Linked DNA regions of Drosophila melanogaster. The protein of the gene in region 4 interacts with the protein of the main gene of each other region in a pairwise test. Each region holds a gene or a part of one and is shown on either strand. Other genes may lie near its edges. The genes, in order: RpL24-like, CG7173, CG31909 and Nha2.

What was found.
Region 1: the proteins of Nha2 (region 4) and RpL24-like interact in a two-hybrid assay, tested with the Drosophila melanogaster proteins (one large-scale study listed by BioGRID).
Region 2: the proteins of Nha2 (region 4) and CG7173 interact in a two-hybrid assay, tested with the Drosophila melanogaster proteins (one large-scale study listed by BioGRID).
Region 3: the proteins of Nha2 (region 4) and CG31909 interact in a two-hybrid assay, tested with the Drosophila melanogaster proteins (one large-scale study listed by BioGRID).

What each region holds. Positions count from the first base shown.
Region 1 is NT_033777.3:11,429,052-11,435,884, reverse strand, and holds RpL24-like (ribosomal protein L24-like), read left to right. Parts: upstream 1-4,302; 5' UTR 4,303-4,395; coding exon 4,396-4,476; intron 4,477-4,546; coding exon 4,547-5,041; 3' UTR 5,042-5,145; downstream 5,146-6,833. Other genes in the region: Exd2 (exonuclease 3'-5' domain-containing 2), read left to right, coding at 309-523, 586-1,713, 1,921-2,329; CG5276 (uncharacterized protein), read right to left, coding at 2,593-2,890, 2,945-3,906; Dtd (D-aminoacyl-tRNA deacylase), read right to left, coding at 5,149-5,258, 5,314-5,546, 5,615-5,705, 5,761-5,803; Sptz (spastizin), read right to left, coding at 6,346-6,775, 6,833-6,833. UniProt on the Drosophila melanogaster protein: Involved in the biogenesis of the 60S ribosomal subunit. Ensures the docking of NOG1 to pre-60S particles.
Region 2 is NT_037436.4:21,552,608-21,561,411, forward strand, and holds CG7173 (uncharacterized protein), read right to left. Parts: upstream 5,620-8,804; 5' UTR 5,154-5,619; coding exon 3,684-5,153; intron 3,335-3,683; coding exon 3,145-3,334; intron 3,079-3,144; coding exon 3,044-3,078; 3' UTR 2,766-3,043; downstream 1-2,765. Other genes in the region: Wnk kinase, read right to left, coding at 1-511; CapaR (capability receptor), read right to left, coding at 6,574-6,699, 7,188-7,289, 7,369-7,528, 7,583-7,727, 7,791-7,865, 7,922-8,095, 8,335-8,534, 8,594-8,684 and 1 more.
Region 3 is NT_033779.5:7,252,165-7,258,698, reverse strand, and holds CG31909 (uncharacterized protein), read right to left. Parts: upstream 1,188-6,534; 5' UTR 1,135-1,187; exon of another isoform or gene 1,062-1,134; intron 1,003-1,061; 5' UTR 968-1,002; coding exon 584-967; 3' UTR 501-583; downstream 1-500. Other genes in the region: Wnt4 (Wnt oncogene analog 4), read left to right, coding at 1,439-1,937, 2,012-2,239, 2,453-2,695; CG13786 (uncharacterized protein), read left to right, coding at 5,927-6,009, 6,071-6,534.
Region 4 is NT_033777.3:22,993,190-23,001,714, reverse strand, and holds the start of Nha2 (Na[+]/H[+] hydrogen antiporter 2), read left to right. Parts: upstream 1-3,186; 5' UTR 3,187-3,534; coding exon 3,535-3,550; intron 3,551-3,929; exon of another isoform or gene 3,930-3,931; coding exon 3,932-4,201; exon of another isoform or gene 4,202-5,261; intron 5,262-8,153; exon of another isoform or gene 8,154-8,324; intron 8,325-8,525. Other genes in the region: CG34375 (uncharacterized protein), read left to right, coding at 134-1,263.

The DNA.
Region 1 (6,833 bases), about 12 Mb from region 4:
AATGGAGATTCCGGAAAACCCTGTGGGCCAGTATTGCCACCCCGAAGATCTTAGTCCAGCCAACAATGCCACCTTTTTAAACGACTCGTCATGTTTAACGGTTTTATTTCGATATATTTTTATGAACTTTTAAAAGATTTGAAACAAGTTTTGCTTAAAATGTATTAAAACTGTAAAACTATTTTGGCATAGCACATTCAAATTACGGTTATAAATATTCCGAAACTTGTTTAGACCGGCTTTTACGGTTTGTGAAAACGTAAGTTGGCAGGCCAGCCAATCAGCTGCTGAACTCCGAAAGGAGAACAATGACTCGGGAATCGGCAGTCGCCACCAAAAGAAATTGGGCGATTCTGGCCGCAGGAGTTGGCTTGGTATACGTCCTGGTGCGGCACAGGCACCGACTGCTGTGTCCACTGCGTCGCGTCTGGTCCTTCGGCAGCCTGGTGCCCCAGCGACGCATAGAAGTGATCAACTCCGTCCAGGATCCGACCACGCAATGGGTTTTGAATGAACTGAAGAAGTAAGTAAAAACCACTTTAATTTCACGACAATGGAAATATATATATATATTCTGCCTCTTAGTCACTGCCAGACTTTTAAAGTCCTTGGATTCGATTGCGAGTGGATCACCGTGGGCGGCAGCCGCAGGCCAGTGGCCTTGCTCCAATTGAGCTCCCATCGGGGTCTATGTGCCTTATTCCGACTGTGCCATATGAAACAAATACCCCAGGATCTGCGGGAGCTTCTCGAGGACGATTCCGTGATCAAAGTGGGCGTGGCACCCCAGGAGGATGCCATGAAACTTTCGCACGACTATGGAGTAGGCGTGGCCAGCACACTGGATCTGCGCTTCCTCTGCGTAATGGCAGGCCACAAACCTGAGGGACTGGGAAAGCTCTCCAAAACTCACCTGAACTATACACTGGACAAGCACTGGCGCCTGGCCTGCTCCAACTGGGAGGCCAAGACTTTGGAGCCAAAACAGCTTGATTACGCTGCCAACGACGCACTTATGGCGGTGGCCATTTATCAAAAATTGTGCAGGGATCTGCAGCCAAAACACTTTTGGCAACGAAGGCAACTGGACGACAATAGCATGCACAACAAATTCGAACCCTTTCTCGACGTGGACTTCACGAAAGGCTTCACACTCAACCCGTCCGGCAGCGGAGTAACTCGTTCAAAGGGCTCCACCCAATCCAAAAGCAATAAATGGGTGCCCAAGAAGCAACCGTACCGGCAAATAGCTACCCGAACCAAAGACTTCTACGATAACTGCCTGCTGCAGGCGCCCGATGGCGAACTCCTGTGTACAATTGACAGGCGCAAGGCGTCCTGGTATCTCAATCAAAATCTGGGCACGCATATAAGCGAAGAGCCCTTCACTGTCCGCCTTAACTTCGAGCCAGCGGGTCGAGCGGTCGGAGATGTGGGGCGCTTCTATCAAACAATCAAGAAAAACCAGTGCGTGGTGTGTGGTGACCGGGATGCGTACATTCGGAAGAACGTGGTACCGCGGGAATACAGAAAGCATTTCCCATTGGTCATGAAATCTCACACCTCCGACGATGTGCTGCTCCTGTGCCCAACCTGCCACCAGCTAAGCAACATCTCGGATCTAAGGGTTCGCAGCAAACTGGCCGTGCAGTGCGAAGCTCCTTTCAAGCAGGAAGACGGATCTGTCAAGTACCATGATGATCCGCAGCTCAAGTAAGTATGCCATACATTTTCAGAACTAAGTTAAAAGTAAAAGTAAATTATACATTGCGAGGAATGTAGATTGCCTTATCAGTTATCTTACCAGACATATTTTGCCTCTTTTTTATCACCTAACTTTCCAAAACATACCCTGATATATGATAAAATTAATCTCCATAGAGTTCTCAATGAATCTGAATTGCATTTTATTATTTCCAGACGAGTCCAATCCGCTGGCAAGGCACTACTTCATCATGGCGCGAAAATACCCGCTGCAAAGAAGGCCGAAATGGAAAAGACTCTCCTCGATTACTACTCCGATCAAACGGACATCACAGAAGATCTCCTGCGGCAAGCAGCCAGCGTGGAATATCGCGTAGAAAACTCCGACTACTGTCAGCATGGCGAGCGGGTGGTGCAGCAATATCGCGATCATTTCGGCGGCCTGGTGGAGCTGGAGCGCTTATGGCGGCAGCACTTTCTGCACACAATGCAGCCCCGCTTTTTGCCCGAACTCTGGAATGTCAACCACAATGCCGATCGACTGGAAGTTCGCGCCAGCGAGGGTCGCATCGATAAAGCCGATCTTATGGTGGCCGGATTGGATGCGAAGATTAAAGAAACGTGATGCAGGGCTTTTCTGAGTTTGCCACCGGCTTTGTACGTTTTATATTTCAATTTTAATAAAAATAAACTAAAATTTTTTTTTGTGCTATGGTACAAGACGGGACAAGGAGTCACGGTTCATGAGGCAGATGAGCATCTCTGGACTAATCTAGGTGACTATAAATATAAAGCTTACCGTATGGGACAATAATACAATATGTACACGTTTAAAACTGAAGCACCTGGATCGAAGTAGAGTGGAGTGCGGTAGCTTGGAATGGCGAGCTAAATGAACTCGAATCCCTCATACTTGTAGTCCGTCTCGATCCTCGTTTCGGGCAGCAGTGTCTTGCCCGCAATATCGAAGGCTGTGATGAAGGTGGCCGTCTTGCCATTCAACTCCTCCGACTTAAGAGCCACGATTATTGAGTCATCGGTGCCGGGCAAGAACTTAAAGCTAGAGAAACCATGCGTGGGCGTTGTATTTTCAGGATCGAGCCGTACAGTCTCAACGTTGGTGAAGCTTTCGTCGGCGGAGACCAGGACATTGCAGCCCATGTGCTCGTCCTTGGTTTCGTTGTATCTTTCAAAGATAGATCGATGAGTTAAGGATTTAAAGGCTGACACGCTTACTCACTTCTCTTTCGAACACCGCCTAGGCAGGAAAAACCAGCGATTCCTTTCCTCTGACCAGGTTCCACTCTCGTGGATCATGTAGCCCGGCCAGGTTATTTGCATCGACTGCAGGCGCAACTGCTTGAAATTGTCCACCCAGTTGAGCGACCTCACCTCGCCGGACGGAGTGATGGCCTTTACGTACATGGGGTTATTGTTCTCGAAATCACCCGCACTTGTCGTCCACTCCTTGCCCATGGAGCCCACATACAGCGTTTGCTCTTTCACTGTGGCCCATTCGGCCTTGAAGCCCTTGGCACTGTGTCCGTCTCCATCGAGCAGGATCACCCAGGGAATGGGCTTGTCATTCACAATCTCGTATATCAAACCCGTTCGGTCGTCGAAGGTGAGCAGGCGCCCGTTGAAGGTGACTAGCTCAGATAGCTCCATTCCGCGGCCCTTAAGGGCAAATGCTGATTCCAGGACTATCGGCGCCCCGTCATCCCAGCTAATCTGGATCTCTGACCTGGCCACCGTGTAGGTAAGGTAGCCCTTCTTCAGGTAGCTACGCCACGTGCTGCTCCCATCGCCCTTGCTCACCTTGGAACTGGTGTCCAGATCGGCAATCATGGCTATCCGGTAGTTTATCACACCGCCACGCAGCACCATGGGTGACGTGAGCGGATATGTGGCATTGTAGGCCTGGACCACTGGACCACCATTGTCCAGACTCCGGGCATCCGTGTAACTGCGGCGCAGCCAGTAGCCGTCGGAGGAGGAGTGCGATCCCTGGCGCGCAAAGTAGAAGAGTAGGACGAGTACGAAGGCGCAAACAATCAGAAGGGCGAAGTGATAGTTAAAGCGCACCGTCCGATTCCCAATCCGGTACGTGGGCGTCCGCAGGGCCGATCGCCAGTCGCGCATGTACATGGCGCGCGGCGAGTGTTCTGCGTGTTCCCGGTACGCGAAGGCAGGGCTCTGCATCTGGTCGCACGTCAGCAAGATCTCGTTCGCGGTGATGTGTCCGATTTTCTTGGTCTGCTGCTCTGTTTGTTTGGATGCTGGCGGTGTGACCAGCGCATGAGCGGGCGATCAGCTGGCGCAACAGCTGGTGCAAACTGGCGAGCGCATGCGATGTTATCGAGAAACAGGTGCAACAATTCAGTTTAAGTTAATGTAAACATACTGGGAAAAACATGATTTGGACAAAGACCGAAGGTAATTGAAATTATCAAAACAATACAACTGTCAACTGGTATCGCAGTCACTTGCAATTTATACGTATTTCTTGCTTGGATATTTTTTGTCTACATCTAGCTATTTTCCATGTTAGCCAGTGTTATCGATAAGCAGTGACTGGTCGCACTGCTGACTGCCGATACATTTTCATATTTCTTCTTCTTCAGCAGCACACGTGCTAGCAGCTTGCGCATTTGTTTTGTTTTCGTAATTTATCCGTCGTAAATTGCGAAAATGCGCATTCAAACGTGCTATTTTTGCTCTAGCAAAATATACCCGGGCCACGGGGTGCAATTCGTGCGAAATGACTGCAAGGTAAGAACGATTTGCTTTCCTGTTTACATGTGCTCCGATGTTTATATTGCTTCGCCATATTCCGTCGCAGGTCTTCAAGTTCTGCCGAGGCAAGTGTCACAAGGCCTTTAAGCGCAAGAAGAATCCCCGCAAGGTAGGATGGACGAAGGCGTACCGCAAGGCCGCCGGCAAGGAGCTGGCCATCGATCCCAGTTTCGAGTTCGAGAAGCGCCGCAACGTGCCCATGAAATACAGCCGCGAGACCTGGCAGAAGGGTCTGGAGGCCATCAAGCGGGTGACGGAGATTAAGGAGAAACGCACCAGCCACTTTGTCATGGAGCGACTGCGCAAGGGTCGCCAGGTCGAGATTCAGATGGACGTCAAGGATGTGCAGCGCAACATGTCCCTGATTCGCTCCCCAGCCGCAGGGCTGAAGCAACGACGTGCCCAGGAGGCGGCAGAGGAGGCCGCCCTCATGGAGGAGGATCTGCCCGAGGAGAAGATCACCTACGTGGATGCACGCGAACTCGAGAAGAAACTGGAGGAGGGAATGGGGGTCGAGGATCTCGAGATGTTAGAAGCCTAAGGACGAGTACGCTGATTTTTTCTTAGTTTAAGTTGCTGCTAAAAAATACATTATATAAAAACCCCGTGGTACATAAATGTTGTCTTTGGTTGTTATATATTTTCAAATCATTTGTCCACTTCTCTGTCAGTATCCTTTTGTTCGGGGGACTCCAAATTAATGGTTACGGGTCCATCGTTTTCTATGTGCACTTGCATGTATGCTCCAAATTTGCCATCTATTATAGTAAGTGAGATTAAAACATGACCAGCTGGAGTGTTCCTATCACTCACCTTTAATCTTGGTGCTATCGTAGGATTGACCTAGGCGATCCAAAAATTGATTGTACAACTCCTGCGCCTCCTCGCCCTTCATGGCAGCCAAAAAATCCGGTTTGTTGCCCTTAAGGCGGTGATACAGTGTAAACTGCGAGACGCACAGCAGTTCTAGGTTCAGATCCTTCACGGACTTTTGCCAACGCTTGCCCTCCTCCTCGAATAAACGGAGAGCCAAGATTTTCCGGACACTTGAATGGTAAGCTGTGTTAGGTGGTCTAAACCTAAGGTGGTTATCACCAGAGTGGAATTTACCTACAGATACTCAACATCCTTGGCGGTGTCGCTGGCCTTGATTCCCACCAGCACGCACAGGCCTGGTCCAATGGAGGACACCAGCTCATCCAACACTAGGGGAGCAGTATAAAATTATATGATAGATGGTAACTATTTGATCCTGCATACCCGTCACTTTGGCAGCCTTAACCCTTTGTATAACCGCACGCATTTCTTAATTATTCTATTTATTTACCACTTATTTAGATCTTTGTCAGTGCTGGTAAACTTGACACGAGCAGTGTTGACCGTCGCCCCAAGAATTCAAAAATATCGCGCATTTTCTGGGTAATAAACATATAACAGTATAATATAAAAATAACATAATAAATATAAAATACAGTACAATCAATAATATAATTTGGTTACATGCTGGGAGAGTCTTTTTGAGCTGGAGGGTGGAATACTTGCTGGCCCTTTGGAAAGATTAAAATTGATCTACATATATGTTAAATTCTAAAAACAAATTATCTATGCTAGCTCAGTTACAAAACAACTTGGGCCTTCACTAGGTGAATAATCAAAAGATGAATTCCAATTCCGAATAATATATATTCATCTAAATCTCAAAATTGAGAATTTGCTTAGATATGTTATTGTCTTTTAGAATGCAGGAGTTTTCAAAGCTACAAATTCATCATTTGGTATTTCTCACAGCTAGTAAATCCCAGAAACAAGGGGTTACTAATGTGTTATTGCTCGAGGGTTGGGATATCACAGAGGCGTTGGCGCGGCGCTTAGCTGGAGCTTCATATCGCACAGTTTCTTGATGTGAACCTGACCGGTAAGCTCCGCCTGCCGCAGGATTCGCCGGATATCCGCCAATCGATCGTGCTTGTTGGCCAGCAGATAGGCGGATTTAAGCTGCCCAATGTAGATGTAGGAGGAGACTCGTAGCTCCACGCTGCCGATGCGTTTGATCAACCGATCCAGCATCTGTTTCGTCTCCGGCGCACTGCTGTGCACAGCAGCATTAATGGCAATCGAGAGTATTTCATCGGACTCCGTGGAAATGTCTCCGCCGTTGTTGCTTCCTATGCAGTCCAGCAGACGCTCTACCTCACCCAAGCGCTGATTTCTCGACAGGTACTTAGCAGTGGCTCCAAACACCTTAAGTGCAGCCAGCTTGAAGTCCTGCATAATGCTAAAAATAAAACAATTATAGCTGACATTGTCGTCTTGATTTTATCTTTTTGCTTACC
Region 2 (8,804 bases), on a different chromosome or scaffold from region 4:
GCACATCGTCTTCAGTCTTTTCGATTGTAAGACTCCGTGACGCTTCGGTTATAATGTTGTCGATGATTCCGGCCACATGGTGGGAAGTGGCATCCGTAGCATTGGAGCGCGTAGGCGTGCGGAACTGCTCCTCCAGATGCTCCGCCTCGCGGGAAAGCATCTCGATGTTGTCGTCATAGTCACGAGGAAACTCTGTCTCGAGTTCAACGAACTGCAGTGGATTGGTGTTCCTGCCTGACTGTTCCACATTTTTACGGACGAATCGAATGTTTTGCACGAAGTTCGCCGTCAAAGTCGTTGGCGTGGTCTTTGACGAGTGCAGTGGCGCCTGCTGCTTGATCAATGGCTCGATCACCGTGTCCGAGGAGGACTTTCTGGCCTCCATTTTCTTGGTGTCTGAAACAACCGCTTGCGACGTCCCCTTGACTGACTTGTCTTTTTTAGGTTTGCCCGAAGTAAGACCAGCTTTCTGGTTGCTTATGGCATCTGCAGGTTCTATTTTGCTATCCATTTCGTCCTCATTCTGTTCCCTGCTCTGGTTGTCCTGAGAGCAAAGCACCTCTACATCGGTTGATTGCTGTTTGCCTAAATCGCCGTTGTTGTTATCGTTGACTTTCGGTACGTCGTCCACGTTTTTCGGGCTTGACGCCGTTTTGCCGGGAAGGGTGTTATTTGAAAAGCGTCTTAGCACCCGCACAAATAGGTTACTTTTGCTGGCAGCTGGTGGTGTAGGCGTGGTGTTCAGCGTGGGTAGAGAAGAAGCTGGCTCGATAGGTGATGACTGGATTGAAGTGGTGCTGCTAGTGCTCGTGTGTGCAGAAAGTGTGCCCTGCTTGCAAGTGGGCTTTCTGTTTAGTGTGTCTTTTAGTTTTGATGTCGGGTTCGGCTTTTGCCTAGAGGAGGCAGATCTATTAAACGAACGGTGTCCCGACTTTTGTATATTAGCTCCCTGCACAGTTTGCTCCTCGCTAGAAATTGAGGTATTCCTAAAAGAATGATAGAAGTAGTTGATTAGATTCTATAGACTCACAGGTACAACAGTCGAGTTTTCCACAGTTCTCAGTAAACTTCCTTCCAAGAACATTTTATAAACATTCGATAAACGAAAAAACGGTTTCAGTTTACGTGTTGTTTATCTAGTAAGTTTTGCTTAAAACAGAGACGTTGAAGTAACAATTCCAGTTGAAGCATATTTAAAAATTAGTATCCTAGGGAAACAAATCCTTTGTAGGATACTTGGTCAGTTTAACACACTACATACAAGGATATTTTAAACCAGCTTTTACGTTATTTAGGCATATATGAAACAACGATTGTTACTTCAATCATTTTTTGTTATGTGCCCTGATTTAAATAAAAACAATATTTAAATAAATAGAGATATTCCCTAAATGTTTTGGCAATGACTCCAACTCACCTTTGAGGTTGCGTGGTGCAGGAGGTAGTACCATCTTCGCTGATGGCGCTTCCCTTCCGAGCACGGTTCGCAGGTACGACCTCTTGTTGTCGTACGAAGTCGCAGAGGGTTTGTCCAATTTTGCAAGATTTTTAGCAGCAGACCACCACGTTTAATCTGAAGCGAGAGGCAAGGCGGTGAATGAGTACATGAAGGCATGGAGGAATGGAGCAAAGGTTAAATTCCGGCACTATTGACAGGAGGAACTGGCTTGGACTGGGGCAGAGACATGGGCAGGGGCAGGAGCAGGGAAAGGTGACCATTCCCACACCCACTTATGTTCGTTGCTTGGTGCCGACGTCTGAAATATCGCTTACAGCTGGGTGGAGGAGGTAGTGGCGCCGTCTCCAGGAGGCCGAGGTGTGCGCTTTCCATGAATCACTAGTTTCGATTGCACTACGTTCGTCACTGGCTCTGCCGTTCCACTCTACTCTGTTCTGTTCTGTCGCGAGGGATATGTGCGTATGTGCGGTACGCTGGCTATACATACATATTTATGTACATTTGATTCGGGACAGGAAGCATATGCAGCGACTATGATGTCATGTTTCCACGCCGCTCCTTCCGGAAGTCCTTCGCTCGACGGGATCGTGCTCGAGTTGGGGATTTACGACCGGGACGGGGTCTAGGGCTCGCACTGCGACTGTCGGATCGTTCGCATCGAGGATTTCAATTTGTGATTGTGGTGTTCAAAGGCAATTCGAGCTAGCAAGCTTTCATATTACGGCACGGGGGATTGGTAAGTCTTTCGGGAGATAGTGTCACCTCCACAAGGGGGGTCAATTGGATTGAACGCGTGCGAGAGTCAGCGGAAAATTGAAGTTATTTCGCCAGAAGTTCCCTTTACTTTCACAAAAAATTTTACAAAGCAACTGGGTTTACTTGTGTTCGTGATCTATCGATAGCGCATATTGTTACACAAGTGTTATCGGCGGTGATGCCACCCAAGCTACCAGCTTGCCTAATATATATGTTACGCATTAGCAGAGATGTTACCTGGCCTCTGTTAACTTGAACAGTAGACCGTTACTCTTCGAACGAGTTATAACATTGTTAAGAATACTGTATAACCTTTAAGCATTAAGCCACTTTTTTAAATTTCATTTTGCCTGCCATAATGAAACAGATTACAAACAGATTACAGCTGTAAAAACCACACCTAACAAAGTCTTAATAAATTCCAAACCCTTATACAGGTTTCCCTTATTCAGCAAGAAGATGCTCCTGTCTCTTTTGTTTTGCCCCTAAGGCAAAAAGCCCAGATAGTCTCTTATTTTATATATATAAATATGATTTTCGATAATGTTTTCTTGCAATTCGTTAATTTATTTATTATAACTAACTTCTCTGAATGATTTTTGAGATACATACAAATATATTGTAGAACTTAAATATACATGCACTAATAGTTTATAAGTTATCACTTTAATGAATAGGAAAGCTATAAGTGCACGATATTTTTATACGTGAACAACAAATCAAAATCACTTTTTACAAAACCCTACATTTTACCATTTCCACTAAATTTGCATATTTTGTAATCGCTAGAATAAATTAAATTAAAACAGTTTTTTATTTTATTTTAGTTTAAGAGCAAGATCCTTTACTCTTAATCGTCACACCTGGAATAGAACATGTTGGTTTAAAATATATACAGACAATACATATATTGGGTATGAAACTCTTACTTATATTGAGGCATGACGAATAGCACTGCAGTTGGGTTTCGCCCGTGTACATGTATCCGTCGGATCCACAGATTATTTCATCGTTTTCATCGTACACATTAGCACATATCTTCTCGCAGTAGTTTTCCGTGTCCTTTGGATCGTCAGGAGTAGCTGAACTCGTCACAGTGGGCACCTTTGGAATATCTTGCTGAAATGGGCAAATTTAAAATTAAAAATGTAAGAGCTAAATTCACAGCAAAAAGAATTTGATCTTATTAGGAAAAACTGTTACTGGTATTTGATGAGTCGTATAATTTTTGTAGCTTGAGTTGATAGAATCAACTATTTTTTTAAGTTTATTTTTTCAAAGAAGAGTACTATTTTAAACCCGTAAACGATTTGATCGAAATTAAGTACTCACTAAATCGCGTAAAAATCATTATAAAATGCCTTAAAGGTTGGAAGTGCTTGTTTTTGTGGCCACTTTTTGGCCAACAAATATGCTAGCTTATATAAGCTACTTGCGGTTTTCACATTTATTGAGAAACAGAACCAACCTGCTTTCCACTTTCAGTGTCGGAACTATCCTCTGGGTCATCGGTGTATTCCTTAATGGGCTTGCTGAGTTCAATCTTCGGGGCAGGAGATTTCGCGGGCTCGCGGGGAGCTTGGGCCACGGTTTCGTAGTAGTACTGATTGGCTTGCGGGGCTTGGGTGTACTTCATCGATCCCCTTATGGCATCTTGCTCGGTGAACTCGAATCGCAGAGGCTCCGGGGTAAAGCTCTTGTGGGTCTTGGCGAGGTGCTGGCTCTTCGACGGCGATTGAGTGGTGGTCTGGACCGCCATGGGAGTAGAGACCACATGCTTAACGGCTTTGTTGCCGTCGGACTTGACAACGAAGACATCCTGACCTGCCTGGTAACTGCCGCGAACCACTGCGGAATTCGCAGGAGCGGGATCTTGCTGGTAGAACAAGTCGGACACTTGTATGGGCTCATTGTAACTGGAGGAGACTGAGTTGTCTAGGCCAGCAGTTTTGTAGGGAACATGTTGCTGCAGCGCTTGTTGCTGCTGCGGCTGCTGGTGCTGCGGTTGCTGATGCTGCTGCTGTTGTTGCTGATACAGTTGCTGCTGCTGCTGCTGTCTGTATTGCTGTGGATATTGGTGGAGCAGCTTCTGCTGGTCCCGCTCGGCGTCCAGTTTCTTGAAGTCAGGATCCCTCTTGGGCAGGAAGTACTCGTTGGTGCTCATGAATTGCAGGTAGTCCTGCGCCTCCCTGGACTCCTTTGGTGGTGGCACTGCCTGGCGAAAGTTTACCGCCTGCTTCGCAGGTATATCGGTATCCTCGTAGACAGAGTAGCTATTTGGATCCTGGGGAAACTGGCTGTTTTGGAGAGCAGTTTGCTGGGTAGGGACAACACTGAAACTGGGAGATCCCTGCTGTCCGAAGAGCTTGGGATAGTGCAGGTACTGGGAGGCCTGGACGGGAATCGCATGCTGTTGGATGGGTGCGTACACTGGCTTGGTGTCCTTCATGATCACATTGCCATTGAAGCGCGGCGAGGACTTGAAGTTCTGAATGTACTGCTCGGAGACATACTGGAGTGGGAACTGGTTTTTGCCCACATCTAGCACCGGAGTGTCCTTTACGTGGGCGAATCTGCCCTGCTGACTCTGGTCGAACTGGTACCTCCTGAGCTGGTCGTTCGCAGGAAAGTTCCCGAACTGCTCGCGACGCATGATGTGCTGCGCAGTGGCAGGTTGCGGCGACCGCAAGAACTTGTTGGAGCCACCAGAAAGCATGGCCAGGTTATCCGATCGCGATCTTATCCGGGGCAGTTGTCCGGGACCCGGCGGCCGATTGTGCTTGATATGGTGCTGGGCCAGGGGCTGGTTCTCACTCAGAAACTGCCTTATGCGCGCTTGTCTCATATCATTCTCACCGCACTGCACTTGGTTGATTAGGACCACTATCAGAACTAGGGCCTCCAAAATGGGGGCCAACTTAAGCGGACTCTGAGTCATTTTTAAAGCTCGTCTTCGTTCCACGACGGTCTATTGGTATTTGACATTTGTCAGTTCCGCGGCCAAAAGCAAAAAAGTTTCTTTCGAATTAACCACGCACACATGCGAAGCTTCTTTTCCATTCGACGATCCACGATCGCGCAGACTTGATCTCACTTTCTTTGTTATCCGGCCAGTCGTTTAAATAAAAATGGAACGCCTCGCGGCACTGCAGCCAAATACAATGTGGTGGCCTCGTCTCTGGGCCCAGATGCAGCTATCTATGTATATCTATTTAAAACCGACTTGGTTCGCCATATCAGCTTAAGATGGGCACTTTTTCTAGAGCCTGTGGTTCCAACGCCGCAGCACCGTTAATCAATGGAGGGTCTCGAGCATCCACATCCATCCGATTACTTTCTTCTTGAATTTCGGCGGTGCCGTCGGTTGGAAAGCAACTGAGTGGCAAATGGAACGTTTCTGAACTAGCTGTGCTGGAATTCGGAGTGTCGGAATGGCCACTAAACCAGTTTTGAGATGCTGCCTCTGCTGCCATAGAGGAGCTGCTGTGGATGTGGATGTGGATGTCGATGTCGATGTCGATGTTTTTGGATTTGGATGTGCATGTGGTGTCCACCGAGAGATCCCCGAGAGATCATATCGCGACACGAAGATGGAGCACTCGAGCCTCGGGGCACCGTGACATCGCTCCAGATGCGACAGAACCATTGGCCAGGTATGCTCATTAATCTGGCTATCTTGAGTGCTGGTGAAAGTAAATCGGAGATAAGATCTTTTGGAGACCTATGCGTAATTGGTTCGGAGTTCCTCAAACATCAGAGATTAATTTGCTTATACAGAATGCCAGATGGCTGGATGTCTGAGACTTGTGAATGCAGGGTTATTTACCTCATGTAAAAGTGAAAATGTTTTTAATTATAGATACTGGGATAATGGGTACAACTTTCGCTTTTGTCGTCAATTTGGCACTGCTTTTTCGAGAGAACAAGCCATGAAAACGATAATTTGGATCATTGTTATGCAAATCGCTCGAAACTGTAATCGTTCGTTAATGTATTCATTCATAAAAGCCCTGTTATTCCATAAAGTTTCAAATATCTCAGATTCTTTTGTGGCCAGTAAGTTTGTGAAAATGGAACTGATTACCTTTTTATGTATAAATAAATATTTATAAGGACCTAACACAATTAAAAAAAAACAACTCGGTAGCAATAAAACTCAGTTGGTTTATTTAGTAATATTATGAGATGTTGTAGAAATAAATAAATCTCCTTTGTGCGGGGGCACATTTGAATTTAGACAGACTCCCAGTCATATCACTAAATTCCCAATACGCAATTCTTAGCTCTTAAATTAGTTCTACAAAAGGTTGTTCTCGACGTCCTTGGCTTAAACTACAAATGTTGAAATGGCCTCGTGCTTAAATACAAGTCTCCTCGTTCTCGATCCAAATATCGTTCTCAACTTTGGGCTCCTCGCAAACTGTGTGGCTGTTTTCCAGCACGATGACAATGTCCGTGGTGCTCAGGACCGTGGAGTCCGCATTCTGGAAGTGCAAGGTCCAAAGTTAATATACACACGTGGAATACAAGCAGGTGAAAAGTAATGTAGTATTTATTCGCCCTGTATTTTACTATTTCACAAACTCAAACAATCACATACGAGCACTTTAATTCGCTCAACAGGCAATGTAAGGAAAAGTTATGTTCCCATGGGTATTTGTGTAAACAAAGCGAAATCAAGTTAAGCGGGGATGGAGCCGGAATACTAAGCAACTTCAGCATTGGGAATTACAAGGATACACAAATTGACGCAGAGTGAAATAACTTTTTAATTTGATTTATTCGCCCAGGTATCTTTGAGTTCCGAGAGTCCGGCGACACAGAAAAGTTTGGAAATAACTCTGGGATTTCCAGTTCAAAAGAATCTGCGCATCTGTAATAACTAAATTTATGCTAATTTACTACTATATCATACTCTAGGACACTATGCTATACTTCAATGAGTATTTATGATTTTGGTCTGTTTAATTACTTTTGGTAGCGGGAGGCTGTAGGTTTTCTTTATCAGCACCCTATTTGCAGATGAGGAGTCCGTTTCGAACTTATTTGGATGCTGGCTGGCTCTGACGTGAACCTATGGGGTAATTTGAGATAGAATAACCAAATTAGGTTAGGTTGGATTAAAATGTGCTTTCAATAACTTAATAACTTACAGAATGAACGCGGTCGTAGGCGGAGCTTTCCCGGAAACTGGAGTGATCCCTCGCAAATCCGCTGTTGTAATAGGCGCCCACGGCTTTTCCGCAGAGGAGTTCCCTGAACGCAACCCTGTAGCGACGTGACATCACACTGTACACTATTGGATTTACGGTGCTGTCAAGCCAGTTGAATCAGATAAATAAGTTAATAGAATTTGGGTTCATTTACCATGAAACGTAGTACGCAAATCCCGCAATCGAGAAGAGTGCCTCGTTTATGTCCAAATAGTTATCCATGTTCTTGGCATACAGGAATATGAGTCTTTGCAGGTGGAACGGGAACCAGCACACGAAAAACGTAATCACCACAGCAGCTATACTGATTAAACGGGGACTTTATTGATGGATTCTGTTGGGATTGATTGGGAAAAGCTCACCCAACATGCGAATAACCGTCTTCTTTCTCATTTGGGAGTTTCTCGTTTCCCTGTTGTTGGTGCCTTGTTGAACACCTGGAATACATCCCTGAAGTCGGATCTTTTGGGGTCAATAAAAGCCAGGTACTTGCCCAATTTTTGGTTCGTTCGAGATCGAATCTTGGCTCCCATTCGTCCGTAGAGCAAAATGATGAGTATCATCGGAATGACAAAGAAAATGCAAAAGGATACTTCGAACACGGGAATTTCGTTAACAATCTTGGGCGACATGGAACAGAATGCCGACTCCTCAATGCGGGAATGATCTGAAAAGCGCAACGAATGCCATTTATACCTGTTCATGTTATTTGGATATTATTCAAAGAATATACTTCAACCATTCATGGCTGTTGGATGGTGAAGTTCAGGTCGCTCGCAAAATTAAAGTCCATTTCAATTGATTTATAAGGTTTCAGCAATTTACTTCATTTGAGCAACTACTGACTCGAGCACCAAGCACCATTTTTGTACTGCTAGGGAACTTATGATGTAAATAGTTTCATACCTAATGGGTAGTTGAGGTATTGAATATCCGAGAGCAGTCCAAATGGAATGGCGCTTATAAAACTAACAATCCAAAGAGCTGTTATTATCCGAATCGCGCGCTTGAAGCCAACCATAGCATACAGGTGCAATGGATGGCAAATGGCCAGGAATCTCTCCATGGAAAATGCGACGATGGTAAAGACGGAGACATAGGTGCATCTGAAACACAGCTGGGTTTATAAATGGCTAAACGTGTAGTCAAAAGTAGTTATACTAACGCCTCTGAAATAAATGCGCGTATTTTGCAGAATGGCATGCCGAAGAGATCCGGATACTGATGCCAGTACAGAAACACTTCCGTTGGTAATCCTAGTTTTGTTTAAAACAGCATATTCAGTTAACTATATTTTCCTATTTTATTTAGTTAACCTACCAAATAGTAGGTACAGCAGATCTGAAACAGCTAGGCTGAACAGATAGTAATTGGTC
Region 3 (6,534 bases), on a different chromosome or scaffold from region 4:
CGAAATAACTGGAAACAGATATGGCATGGGAAACCAATTCAAGGGAAATTCCTTCTGCTATTTCTAGAAAACTGATAAGAGAAGGCCATACTAGCATGTGTGTTGTAACTTTTGATAAATCAAATAAAAGTTTCTCATGTGCCGGTTTATTATTAGCAGTAAAAACTTTGTAGTTCAGAATTTCGATTGTGCAATCCTAAGGTTGGTGGTTGCTAATTAATTAATTTAATAAATTTAATTTAATTATTATTATTAATTAATTATTAAGTGTTCAAATGACATATTGGTTTAACTAAGTAGGCGCACAAAATTTAAATTCTCTTTGAAACGGTATTTTTACCGATTGCTCGCACACAAAGCTTCATACAAGTTCTGCTAGATGGCGCACTGGGCGCTGAAATCTGTGTAAAAATCATCTGCAAGCCAAAGATAGGTGTCGCTTTAATAGAAATCCGAATCCAATATACCTGTTATACTTGTAGAGTAAAAGAATAACGGGTACCTGTTTCTTTTATTATTTTTTAACCATAAAAAATAAAGTAACACCCGAATTTTTTTACATTTTTCAAATCCCACCTGTCCGTCAAAGCATATTCATCGAACCTTCAAAAGCGTCTACTTCATCCAGTAAATCTATATTGTCCCTTATAATAGTTGAATCCCTGATTTCGTTTAAATATTTTGGGTTCTCTACGATTTCTCTATATAATTTCTGTAGATCGCTCTTCAATTTATAGAAAAAGTTAGTTAACTTTTTCTCTTCTTCGAGAGAACGACCGCTTTCAGTGTCGACAGTGTCCAAATATTCATAAGTCTCAATATGGCTGGGAGTAGTGCCATCAATTAAGTGATTTAGCTCATCCGCCATTGAAGAAAATTCTTTTAAATATTTATCTTGCAGAGCTCTCTCTACTCGTAGTTGGTTCTGAAGTTCCGATTTGTTAGTATTGGAAAACGAGGGTTCCATTTTTTTTGTTGGTGATGGTGACAGCACCTTGTTGTCTGGCAATTATATGAGCTTAGATATAACAATGGTCAGTTCATTCTGTGTTCATACGTACCAAGAATCTTATTTTGTTTAAAATCAGAAAAATATTTTTTTATGTTAAGATCGAACCTCACTTTCTCACTCACCTCACTCACCGCACTATATAAGTTTTCTGACTGTAGGGTCTATTTGGACTTGACACTTAACACAACTGCCTCTCCGTTCGAAATTTTCCCTTACTCGTAGAGTAAAAGTGCATACTAGATTAGAAAGAATTTTGCGTTCCCACTAGCTGAGTAAGGGCTTTCTAATAGTCGGGGAGTTCGACTATAGAATTCTCTCTTTTTTATAATAAAAACGTAATTTAATTGTGGTATAGCTCTAAAAAGGACTTTTAAGAATACCTTTACCTTTTCTTATGAAAAATTTCGAATACTTTATGTCTGCCAGCGAACACTTCATTTCGGAGCACACGGTGATGGCGGTGTTCACTTCGCAGGGCCAAGTGGGTGGACCCTGCAGATACATGCCTGCCACGCGGCGTCAGAACCACCAGTGTCGCAAGGAGACGGGATTGCCGGGAACCCTTAGCGAGGCCCGCCGTCTGGCCACCACCCACTGCGAGGAACAGTTCCGCTACGACCGCTGGAACTGCTCGATCGAGACGCGCGGAAAGCGGAACATCTTCAAGAAGCTCTACAAGGAGACTGCCTTCGTCCACGCGCTCACAGCGGCCGCCATGACCCACTCGATAGCCAGGGCCTGTGCCGAGGGACGTATGACCAAGTGCAGCTGCGGGCCAAAAAAGCACAACAGGGAGGCGCAGGACTTCCAGTGGGGCGGCTGCAATGACAATCTGAAGCACGGCAAGCGGGTGACACGCAGCTTCCTGGACTTGCGCGGTGGTGATGGTGACGAGGTCAGCGAGATATTGCGACATGACTCAGAGGTAAAGAGATATATTTTAAGGAGCAGAAGGAGATATTTTATAGAATACCTGTGCTAATTAAACTTTCTTTTCAGGTCGGCATCGAAGCTGTCTCCTCGCAGATGATGGACAAGTGCAAGTGCCACGGCGTCTCCGGCTCCTGTTCGATGAAAACTTGCTGGAAGAAGATGGCCGACTTCAATGCCACAGCCACGCTCTTGAGGCAAAAGTACAACGAGGCCATTCGCAAGGCGCCAAACCAGCGATCAATGCGACAGGTGTCATCGAGTCGCATGAAAAAACCAAAGCAGCGACGCAAGAAAGTAAGTTCTTCAAAGAAAAGTAGAGTAGATGTAGAATTATATGTAGAATACATTCGAAAAGGTAGATCTATAACGGGAATTGGTTTCTATGGAGAAAAGGGTATCTGATAGTCGAGGTAGTCCATCTTTATGTTTAGACTTTTAACCACAAAAGACTTTGTTAATATTTTAGAACCTAAACTTAAAAAACTAATAAGTAATTTCCCTTTACAGCCCCAACAATCGCAATACACCACGCTGTACTATTTGGAGACCTCGCCCTCCTACTGCGCGGTCACCAAGGATCGGCAGTGCCTGCATCCGGACAACTGTGGCACCCTGTGCTGTGGGCGTGGCTACACCACCCAGGTGGTTAAGCAGGTGGAGAAGTGCCGGTGCCGGTTCAACAATGGACGGTGCTGTCAGCTGATCTGCGACTACTGCCAGCGGCTGGAGAACAAATACTTTTGTAAATAGACGGGGTGCCATCTCTCGCAGACTTTCTTTGCCCCGTCTCCGTCACTTTCTATCCCTCTACTGTGCTCTTTGAAAATGTAATTTGTAAAGTTTTTTTCTACCTTTATGGCTTGTAATTTTTTTCCATTCCTAACAAATATTACTGAAATGATAAGCAAAAAGAACGAATGCAGAACGATAGAGATCGATCAGAAAGCTAAGGCTTAGCTAAAGGCCAAACTCACCAGCTCACACACACACACACACATACTCAAATGCATAGACACACACAGTCACACAGACACACACAAGCGCATACATGCATCTATCTATTTAATTACTATATAATATATAGTAAACATTAGCTACCGTCGCAAAGAAAAAATCTCAAAAAAAAATCGCAAAACTTTATTTAGCAAAACGGAAAACCAACAAAAAAACACGGACACACACACAAAGAACAACAGAAAAGCAGAAGCTAACAAAACACACAGCAACAAAAACGAAAAATAAAAACAAAAAACAAAAACAATTTTAATAAGTATTTAAACATACAAAACAAACCAAAAAAAATACAAAACTGAAATGAAATATAAAGTTTCACATAAAAATAAATACTCCAATGATCTTTTATTGCGGGTTTGTCTAATTTAAGTTAGAGAGTAACTTTATAGTTAGAAACTAAAGTCCTTGCGAAAATCAGAGCAGACCTAAAAATAAACTTTTAATTAAATTTTCGTTCGGCACTCAACAGTGATGTGCAGCCGTGCAAACATTTGAACAATTAGCGTACTGTCGCTATAAAAATTCGATCCATCACGTTACTTCAGGTGACTTGGCCAACGATGAAGCGGCGAACTCTTATCAACTTTCGGTCGGTTACATTGATCGCCAGTAGATATCAGTGTCAGTGGCAGTGGGCCGCCACTCGAGGCCGTTTCAACAGCTTCAAACCCGACCAAACCGAAGTATGAACCGCCGAACCTCAAGTGTTAGATAACTGGTTTTATCAATTGTCAAATTGACTGCTCACGATGTCCACGCGACATCGCTTAACACGAGACTCAGCGCAAAACCACACGACTCGCCTAACCCCAAAAAAGCACCTGTGTAAACTTCCGGTGATCTCAGTTTTCTAATAGTAACAGTAAAGCTTACTTAAAACAAACCGATATGAATATGGTTTGTAATGGAATAACCAGCAGTACTTCTTCGTATGTCAAATATGTCGAAGACTAAGATGAGCGACATCTGTTGACTACTTACTTTACATACTTGAAGCCTTTTTACATTGCATACACTTGGGTGTATTTATTTATTTACATGGCACTAAAGTACTTGTTCTTCCTTGCTATGATATACAAATATTGTTGTCCTCAATAAGTTTTAAACAACAAGCTGATTGAAAACATTTGAAATATCTAGAAGTATAGAAAATAAAATACTTAAATCAATATTTAATTTTATACAAATATGTTGGATCAGCAGTCGAATTTATTTACTACTAAATTGAATGTATCAATATTCTTAGCTCTAGAAGGACATATAATTGTTTTAGATTTAGGGCGCCTCCACTGTACTCTTCTGATGTGTTATTTTGTCGCTTTAATGGCATTCGAGCCATCTGTCATGTCTCAAGTCCCAGGACCTCACACTTTTCCCCTTTCAGCCGTGACATTGATACGCTTCTGTCAACATAATTCAGTGAGTGTTGCGTGCTGAGACCCAAAAAACTATTGCATGTTCCGCATAACAAGGATACCGGAGATATCAGGGAAAAGGGCAAACCTTTTTCAGATACCAGTCGAGCGTTTTACATTTAATATGCGCCTTAAACACAATATTTTCTATGTAAACTGTAGTCCTTGTGGTCTACATTTGATTGGAAAATATTTGGCTGGCGGGCAAATATTGATTGAGAACAAACGCCCCGAGCCAGTAAAGATTTTTACATTAAACAGCTGGAAAGTCGTAAAGATTCCTCCAGAAAGACAAGACAAATTACACGCGAATGCCATTTGGTAATGACAGGATGAAAGCACGCCCCAAGCTCGTTTCCCAAACACGCATTTTTCGCCAGTTGACATTTGGGAATGTGGCAGGCACAAGGTCAAAAAACCAGTGGGCAAATAAGATTTTCGGCAATTGAATAAAGTGATCCCTAAAGAGAATGTTAGCAGTTTGTAAATAGAATTTACCGAGCCTATTGTTGTCATCATATTATTTACAATTTATGTAAATCATTTCCTTGTTTGTTTCTAACTACATCAGCCAGCGAAAGTGTTTAATAATTATTTGCACTTTCTTACTTCCACTGTTTCCTAACAAATGTCACGAACTATAAAAACAACTGGTAATTCAGTACACAAAAATTCAATAGAGCAAATCAGCGCTCACCGTCCTAAGTTCTAAGTACACAGCTTTTTATACTTTCGGTACCATGCCGTCTTAATCAGCCGCTTAACAACTGCTCTTCTAATTGTTCAGATGTTTTCAGAATGCCAATTGAACCAAGAATGGCAGCCAATTGTTTTCATTTCGTGAAAACCACAAGCATTCGATGGCTATTAATTACTTGGTAGTAGAACCCACGGACCTCCACCCCCTTTTCACCCACGCGATGGCGACAATAAAAGTAATTTGCATAAAACGGAAACAAGGCGAACGAGACGTCGAATCAAACGGTACAATAATAAATTAAATAAGTTAAGCAAATACACGTGAAAAATGAAAGCGACAAGCAGAGAGCGGTATACACTATGATAATTATATTAATTTCGTTCTCGTGTTATTAAAGTAATAAATATTTTAAAATTTTTCTTTTAAATTTTATTTCCTTTATTTTTAATTTTAAAATTCCCCAATTTTTAAATTTAGATATATCTATATTTGAATACTGCTATCGAACTTCGTTGTATACAGTATCCCAGACTAAAACGAAAGAATGAACGTAGTGGTAAGTAAAAGCCAAAAATCGCCGATCTCAGCACAGGTCACGTAGAGAACAAAAGTGAAAACAAGACCAGAGCAACGAAGACGCCGCCCAGACGGATGACAGTAGAGTCTAATGAGAAAGCTGACCGCAAAACTATGATTTCGAATTGGAGGGGGTGGTGGAGCTGACACGGGTGACTTACAGATCGGAAAGAACGATGTCTCAATTGGCAGAAAGTGAGAGTGCAGCGCACTGCATCCGACAGATACGTGAACTCAACAAAAGCCAAATGTCGCTCGGGTTGGGGCAACATTTCCATGGAAACCATCGACCCAAACACTCGAATCATGATGATGCTGCCGCTACTATGGGTGCTATTTGTTGGACCTTCAGTTTTTGGGTAAGTTGTAATGAGCTGGGGGAAAAAATTAAATAGGTTCTTTATTATTATTTCCCATTAGTTCGCCTTTGGAGATGCAACTTTTGGATATGATGCTGCGCGAGGCGGAGGACTATCCCAGCAATGGTCGCGATCAGAGGGATATTTCCGTTTTGCCAACAGCTCCGATAGGTTGCGATGACAGCGGTGATGCACAGGACCCATTTAGCCACATTTTCGATGAATATGAGGAGAGCAAGGAGGAGTGCATGGACTTTTTGCCACCCTGTGAACCAACGTTCCCGGAAGGTCTACCAATTGAACATCCGTGCTTCGTTAGATTACTCCTGCTAAGAACACCGCTGCTCAAGCAGGATCCCTGCGCCAATTTCACCCTGGTAACTGAAAGACCAAGTACCACAGTGAAACCCAAAACCAAGAAATGCGATCCAAAACGTAAAGCCAGTAAAAGTGCCGCACGAAATGAACTACTGGCACTACCCAATAATGGTACAATAAATTCAACCACAAGCACACCATTAAGTT
Region 4 (8,525 bases):
ATTTGGGGGCAAAACACAAACGAGCGCAAATGGACAACTTGCGTGCATATCCATCCAGTTGTCCCAGTTGTATTTATTATATTTACATTTCGTACTTTTTGTAATGGTCCTCCGTTTCGGTGCCTCTTTTCAGGGAAAACCAACAAGGTGGCTGCCTCCCAGGGCCATGGAAAGCTGAGCAGCGTCAACAAGTGCACAAATGAATATCATAATCAACCGAAAATGGCGCTGGCGAAGACGAGTTCCGGCAAGTCCAAGTGCGGCAAGCAAATCTCCAGGCAACTCGAAACAGTTTTGGTGGACCAAAGTCCTCGGGAAATCAGAAGAAAGAGTCAGCAGGGGCAGGAGCAGGAGCAGGCGGTGCAGGAGGCTGTCCTGCCACGTTGCACGCTGATAAAAGTGCAGCATCAGGAGGCCGCTGTCGAGCACTTTTCGGAGGAAGGTCACAACAATATGCTCGTTAAACCAAAGTTAAAGTTGAGTAAGAAAAGTTGGCGGATTACTGGGCCAGATCAAGACGGATTGCGCTGCGATGAAGTTGCCACCATAAATAATGGTGTCCAGGTGCAGGAGCAACAGCAGCAGCAGGAGCGGCAGCAGCTGGGGCATGAGAAGTCAGCAAGCAGCGAGAGCGAGTATCAAAATTATCATTGCCCAACTGGGAAATCATGCAGCAGCCACAGTTACCAACTTGGCCAGCCAGTGGCCAACAAATTGTCAACAGTCGCGATGCAGGCGCTGGCGGTGGTTGAGAACTCGGGAGGTGCATCCTTATCAGCGGGGAGCCATAAACAGGCGCCGGCAGCCGGAGTAAATCAGGAGCTGCCACTGGAGGCGGGGTCAATAGGTCGGCGGGAATGGCAGTTGTTGCGACATTTGAGCGGCGACCACCGGCTGGCAGTGTTGCAAATCTACGGCACGTTCGGCGAACGCTTGCACGTCCGCCCCCAGCTGCCCCTGGAGGGCGTGGCCTGCCTGCGGCTGAGCGAGGAGTCCTCCACTTTTGGCCACGTCAGAGTGCACACATTTTTCTTGGCTGTCATTGCGATCGGCGGCGGCGATGAGCACGCCGTCTTCCTGTGGCACCTAGACCACCTGCCACATGGACCCACTTTCGAGACTGTCATCGAGACTCCGGGCCACCGATTCCTGGGACCTGCTCACTCGCTCCGGTGCAGCTGGCCGGAGATTAGGGCATCCGGCCAGTTCCTCACCCTCCGCAATCTGGCTGCCAAGTGCGAGGTGACCATCAAAAGCAGGTAGACCCCATCATGCACCCAAGACTGGTCCCAAAACATAGGTATTCTAAGCTAATTAGCAGGTAGTAATCGTGTTTAAGAGCTTTGAGGCAAGTTTAAGAACTGATGGCTGCGAAAGCGGCGATAGAGCAAACCAAAATGCAATGAACATAAAATAAGAATAAAATGTGAAATGTATGCTTTGTAAATTATATTTGCATTTTTTCCATCGACCGCGTATTTATACGAAAAATGCAAAACGCAATTTGGAAATGTGTTTAATTTGCAATATTTTTAATTAATAAAAACATTTAGAAATGTGCTGGCCTGGCAGTTTGAAAGTCCTCGCCATTGAGTGTCCACGTTGAGCTCAACAACCTGCAGATGCTCTATAAGAGTAGCGAGCTAAATTAATGGTTTGTATGGTACTTTAATGAAAAACAAAATAAATCTTTCTGCGCCATATGCGATTCTTTTGGAATATCATGACCCATTTCAAGAGTATCTCCATTAGTCCTTGCATCCTTATGGCGGAATAATAACACCAATGTTTGTGCAAAAGAAATTGAAAAACTGAAAACTGAAAACTCAAAACAGAAAACTGAATACTGAAAACTGGTAACTAGCGCCTGTCTGTTTGCTGCCTCCTGATAATTGACTTGCATGCAAATTAATGTTTTTTGCATGTGGGCGTAAATTGCTGCCCTGTCTGACAAACAGTAAACACGGTCAATGCAGCGGCGAGTCATTTTCATCAACGCGCCGCTGCACTATACATAAATCTCTGCCCCATCGATGTTTACCATATTTAAGGAAAAAATTCCAATTTGATGCAACAAAAATCACGGCACTGTAACAACATGTGTGTGCGTGGCAAATAGAGCGAGAAAGTTGTATTATCCTTTTTGCAGCGCCCCGCACCTCACAATGTCCTGTTTTTTTTGAGCCATCATCATAGTCATCATCATCGTCGTCATAATGGCCATCTTATAGAGTGAGAGTGCAACTGCAACTCCATACAGTGCAAAAAAGTGTGTGTGCATAGTTAAAATAAATTAAATATTTTCGCAAACGACACTTTTTTTGCGCAACAACGTGTGGCACCTGATGAGGAGATGATCTGACTGGAGCACTGGATAATGGTGGTGACGTCACTGCGATTGGTTATCTTTGTCATGGGGCTGGTTTGTCCATCAGGTAAATTAAAAATATTCCAGCGAAGCAATTAAATTACAGCCACGGCGTGGGAGTGGCCACGGCGCCCAATATGATGAGCAACGTCAAAATGCAAATTGTCAGAAAAACAATTTGCAAGACAAGCGAAACTCTTTTTACTTCAAGGAAATATAATTGCTTTCCAAGCTCACAAAAATTAATAATTAATAATAAAAACAATATAAGGTAGTTTTTTTTTTAATACCATGTAAACGCAGCTGGCAAACTAAAGCGCCATCTATGGCACAGAATTGCCGCCCCAATGATAGAGCTCAAATGGGGCAGGTCGCGCACATTTCCCTAAAAAAAAGTGAAAGCGTTTAATCATTCCGACACTCACACATGGGAAATGCGCTATGATTAGAGGTCTATTAATAACGCGGCTATTCGGCGCCTTATCTAGTTCAGATAAATTATGATTACATGACAATTATTTATCAGCTAATTGGCTGCGCCTTAGAAAACTATGGGCATATTGAATCGCAGATAAACGAACCCCTTATAAATATGTAAGTGCTTCCAAACAGACCCCACCCCCACCCCTCATTTCACCCAACCCAGAAACCAACTCATTCCGCACTTTTCGCTCGACAGCAATGAAAACAGAAGGTTCGCCTTCCGCAGAGCTTGTTTGTTTGCCAATTAGTTTTAATCGAAGAGCGCTCGCTGGAGCTGCGCGAATCGGCAATTGCTTGTTTAAATGGCTTTTGCTTTTCTAATTAATGCGTTTGGCAAATATTTGCCAGTGCATGAGCTGTAATAAAAAGAAGCTCCAAGTGCTCAAGTTCCGGGGCTACTACACTATTTCATTCCGCCTTTCCGCCGGTCGTGTCGCGCGTGTTCCGTTCCCTGCATATACTATACTATATACTATATATCCACTCGATTCGCAGCTAACCAATCTCTTCAAACCGCGGCGTTTCTCTTTGGCACTCGTCAATTTTGAGCCAAGAATAGCCATTTGGACTACGTCATCGTACTGATTGCGTCAGCAGTTGTCGCTCTTTGGCATTATTTTCCGCGTTTTTTTCACTCAATCACTCAGTTTTGTTTTGTTCTCTGGATTTCGCCGACATTCGACATGAGCAGCGATTCCGGTAAGCGATTCTGGCAGCTTTCGATACTCACTTTCGGCGTTAATTTACGAGTTTATGGTTAATCAATTAAATGCCACTTTTTGCCCAAGTGCCAATAAATAAATCGTGTGCAAATATGTTCGGGCTTCCACAAGTCAAATTGTTGGGAAATTAACTCTTTTATTTATATACTTGGGACTGGAAAATAAGAATGGTAGAATGGAATTATCAATATTTTTTGTTTGATTAGCAACCCTTCGGCTTTATCTATCATGCGTAATTAAAAATGTTACCAAATAGCTTGAGTCAATTTTTTTTGTGGGAAAAAAGTATGAATATAAAGCGATTTTAATTTTAATATCATACAAATTAATTTATATATATATATATATTTTTTTTTAGATATATTGGATGTAGTGGCAGGCAGTGAGGGTCCACCCTTGCAAGCCTTTCGCAGCAGCAATCCCTTCGAGGACTCGTATCAAATGTCCTCCTGCCAGCAAGATTTCGAACGCGATCGTGATGCGAACTTGACTCCATTGCATATGCTGCGTCGAGCCAGCGAAACGGTGACCGCCAGCATCCTGGAGCCGGAAAAGGAGCACCTCCTTGGCGACAAGCCACAGGTGCCCCCTCGTGCCCATGGAAGCACCGCGCCAAGCGCCATCGAAGGTGAGTGATATGTTTAATTGCACCGCGTCGTCATGGGGAAATTCGAAAAATGCGGAACGAAAGTATTTGTTACGGAAATTCTTGCCTTTATGCAACCAGCTCCCCGGATCAGTGTGCACACAACCCGCAGACAGGACGGCAAAAAGGATGCTGAAGACAGAGACATCCAGTGGAACAGCTCCATGCCAACGCTTTGTTGGCCAGCCAAGCGAAGTGGCTCCGACAGCCAAGTGCACAATGCGTGCTCAGATATGCACATATGCACTTCAGCACATATACGAGTATTCATAGTTTGTTTATGCAAAGTTTTTGTTTCGCCGTCGAGATATCCTGGCAGAATCACAGCTTTTTCTCTCAACTGGCAGGAGCTGATTGAGGCATTTCGATTTTAAGTGAACCGCACAATCACATCTTGCACAAGATGGCGAAGGCGGGCGGGGGACACAGGGGCGTATACGTAATATTTCCGCATATTGACGACAGAGTGTCTGCGATTGACAGTCCAGTGCATCTACCGTCCCGGCTCAAACTCAAAGGCAGGCATTTCCTACACATTCCTTCTGATTTCTGGAAATATGCAAGGCTGTGCCCTGCTGGCCATGTGTGTGGACCACTTTCGTTGGCCGAGCTTTTTGTTTACGCTCCTCTGTTTTGGCAGGTGGCCCTTGCTGGTTTTTCGCCCACAGCCGAGTAGCTAGTATTTTTGAAACTCCCAGAGCAGCAATTGTTTTGCATCTGTTCAAATGCGGGTTTTCGCACCAGTCCATTGTACAACTTTTTGGGAGAATTGGGGAGAACTTCCCTTTGGGCCATCGCAATTGTGGCATTTTCACACGAATAATGAGCCAGTTTAGTTGCGCCCAAATGCCCGCAATCATACAACTAACACGAGTGGCAAAAGCCCGCGGCTCTCGGCAAAGTATGTTCCCATGAATATGCATTAACCGGGGCTCATTTCCTGTGCATTCATTTCGCATTTGCTATTCGCTTTCACATTCGGAGTGCACCACTGATTCTGATTCAGATTCCGATTCCGATTCCGATGCCCGTTTCCATTTCGCGTCTGACTCTGATTTGACTGTGGAAGTCATATTTAAATAAGTTTGCGCACCGCTGCAGGCAGCACTAATGCTCGCATGTGCAGGCACTCGTTTATATTAAATAAATTCCATTTAAATGCAGCGTTTGGGGCAATTCCTCAAGCTCAACCTTGAATGGCACAGCCCTACCATCCACCTGCCCCATCCACATTTCACCTGTCGCTTCTGCTTGTGAGTGAAACGGTGACATTTCTGTTAACTAAAGCCAACATGATATACGCTTGGCACACAAACATGCACTCGTCTATTGATAAATGCAGTGCATTGCGCATTCGCCTCATGCGCCTGTGTGTGTGTGTGTGCAAGTCAGTTCATTACGTATACGCAGTGTGCGACATTTATAAATGCCAGCTAGACTGTGACTCAGCATAATGATTGCCAAATGAATGGTAGAATGTTAACCGTCACGAAAACCCTTTCGACGCCATTTCAATTGGCGCTGGTGCGTTTCGCAGCTGTGTTGGCCCACTTTGGAGGCTTGAATACTTTGGCTAAATCTGAAGGATTTGCAGGCACTTGCACTTGCGCCACAGCTAATTACTAAAACTGCACTTAGTCGCCCCTCCCGCACTTAACCTTTGACCACCTGTCAGACTTTGGCTGCTTATTTGCCGAGCTGCAACGGGGGTTTTTTTTTTCAATTTGTCTCTGGCTCTTTTATTTACCAGCATGGCGCTGAATGGCGCTTTGTGACCTCATTTCTCTACCATTTTTATATAGTTTACCAGCCCGGAGCCAAGAAAGTGCCAGTTTCCACTGATTTGCGATGTATGAGCACTAAATTCGATGCGAATCGCTGGGGCGTGAGTTCATCTCTTGGCAGGAAGTGCGTGACAACGGAATGCAATCTTCTTCCACGCAAAGAAATTATTTTCCGAATGCGCGCTGCATGTGGAGTTGCAAGTCGGCATCAGGATTCAGGACGCGGCAAGGATGCCGGCTGGCATAGTTAAAAGGTGGTACGCTTAAGTAAACATAAATAAAATAAATGTGTTCTGAGTACGGGAAAAGTGATTTGATATATAAGTACGCCCCAGACGCAGAAAGAGTTTCAGACTTCAGACAGCAGGAACTCCGGGCTCCTTGGCGTGGAAGAGCACGGAATAAGGAGAATAAGGACTTCTGTCATCAGCGAGCGCAATTTTCCGTTTAAACATATTGAAAAAGCACCTAACGTTCGCCTGTAAATAATGAATAGTTGAATAACTGATATAAATTACTGGGGATACACATTCAGTAGACCGTCTTGCCGAGCACTTTTTATGGCACTTTTAGCTGAAAAAACAATCTAAATGTTAAGTGACAGCAAAAAAAAACTTCGTTCAACTTTGAGCAGAACTATAAATTCTCCATCCTTAGACCTAAGTGAACTTTTTCAAAGTTGTTTAGTTTTCGGGCCGACGTCGTCTGGAAAAGTGTTTGCCTCGCTTCCAATTAACACCTCAGATTCGCACTCGTACGCAATAGTCCGCACATGACAAGCGGATGACAAAAACTTTGCAGATGCAGCTGCAACTGTAACTGGAGCTCCATGGATATGGCCATTACTTTTTTCCATCAGCACATTCTGCGAAGGAGTCCTGCTCCGGCTCCTGCTGCGCTTCTTGCGACCAGTGGCATAATTTGTGTGGAAACTTCTTGGGCAATTGAAAAGCGAAATGCGAAATGCGAAAGGCATCGCAGTGCCTTGGCTTAAAATAACTTTTGCATTATTTTCGTGCCTGGTCACTTGAAAGTTGCAGAAAATATGACAAGATAAAATGCCAAAAAAGTGCCCCGGGCAAAGTGGGCGGATGGGATTGGTGCAGTGATAGGGGGGCGTGGTCGTGGCCCCGGAAACTGCCAAAGGTAATAATCAATGGGGCGGCGTCCAATGAAGCCTTAATGACCTGCCCAACTTGCAGTTCAAGTTGGCTCAACGGCTTCCCCTTTTTCTCGAGTGCAGCGCATGAATGTGAAATATGAAATATCACAGCAGCGGCAGGACCTCCGAAAGTGCTGCCTTACAATACCTGAACGCTATCTTCGCCGACACCTTTGCACAATTTATGCACCATTTTTTTTTTTTTTGCCAGGCAGCTATGGAAAAAAATAGTAAAAGTAAGTGCCGCAAAAACTTTTAAATGAGGCACATAATTCAAAAAGATGGAGAAGAAATCTTGCCTCTGTTATCATTTCATTCCCTTCCACTTTCCCCTCACCCGAGCGCCATTTCAGTTTCGGTTTTTTAGGGGCGGGTAGATATTTTAAATTAATTAGCAAAACTTAAATATTTGTTGTAGTTCAAACGCGAACTTTGCATTGAACTGGTAAATAATCAATAAGCTCGCAGCCATAATCAACTCAACCGAAATCCAACTGAACCGAGAGTTTAGCCCCTCTGAAATGGCAAATATTTGCAGGGCGTACATAAGTTTCCCTATTGGTTATGGCTAATTAATTGATAAGCAAATGCTTTGGGCCAAATAAGTGTTTATGTTGCAAGGCGGGTCGGGATTAGAAATTTCCCAGCTACTGCAATCGCCGTCTGCCCCCCAAAGATTACAACTCAATGTGATGTATGTGGGAAACATCATAATCGCGATCGGTTTATCATAATTAGCACCTGCGTTCCGATCCAGGGTTCCATCTAATAATCCCATATGTTCTCGTTATCACACAATCTCTCTCTCTCTCAGTTTGCTTGCTAATTTTAAGTTATTAAACAAATATTTTGTCTGGTTCGCTCGCGTGCCCACGAGAGCACCTCGAACTCCCAGATATATGTTTTTTTTTATTAGCATAAGATAAAAAATATATACATATTCCGTATCGAGGCTGTGGAGCTATCCGCCTAAGAGAGCTGACATCTCAGTTGTCCGCTGCCATTGAACGCGATTAGTCGGTGTTCGGCATTAAAATTGTGCGGTTCGGTTGTGAAACTGTTTCAATAAAATCGCATTTTCCACTGAATCGGAATGCGTGATGAATTTGAATACTGTTAGTTTTATGAGTGCAATCTAATTAAATTATCCGCCGAACAGGTAAGCCCCTCACAACGTTGGGAAAAACCATAGTTTTCCAACTCTCATCATTGTGTTTATTGTTGCAGTTTAGAACATTTTCACCGCATTTCACCGTGCACATAAATTGCTAACATATATTCGTTATTGTTTCAAAAACTTTGTATATTTAATATATTCTCTGGCCCCCGCGATTCCAAAGCAGATTACTTTATTATTTCG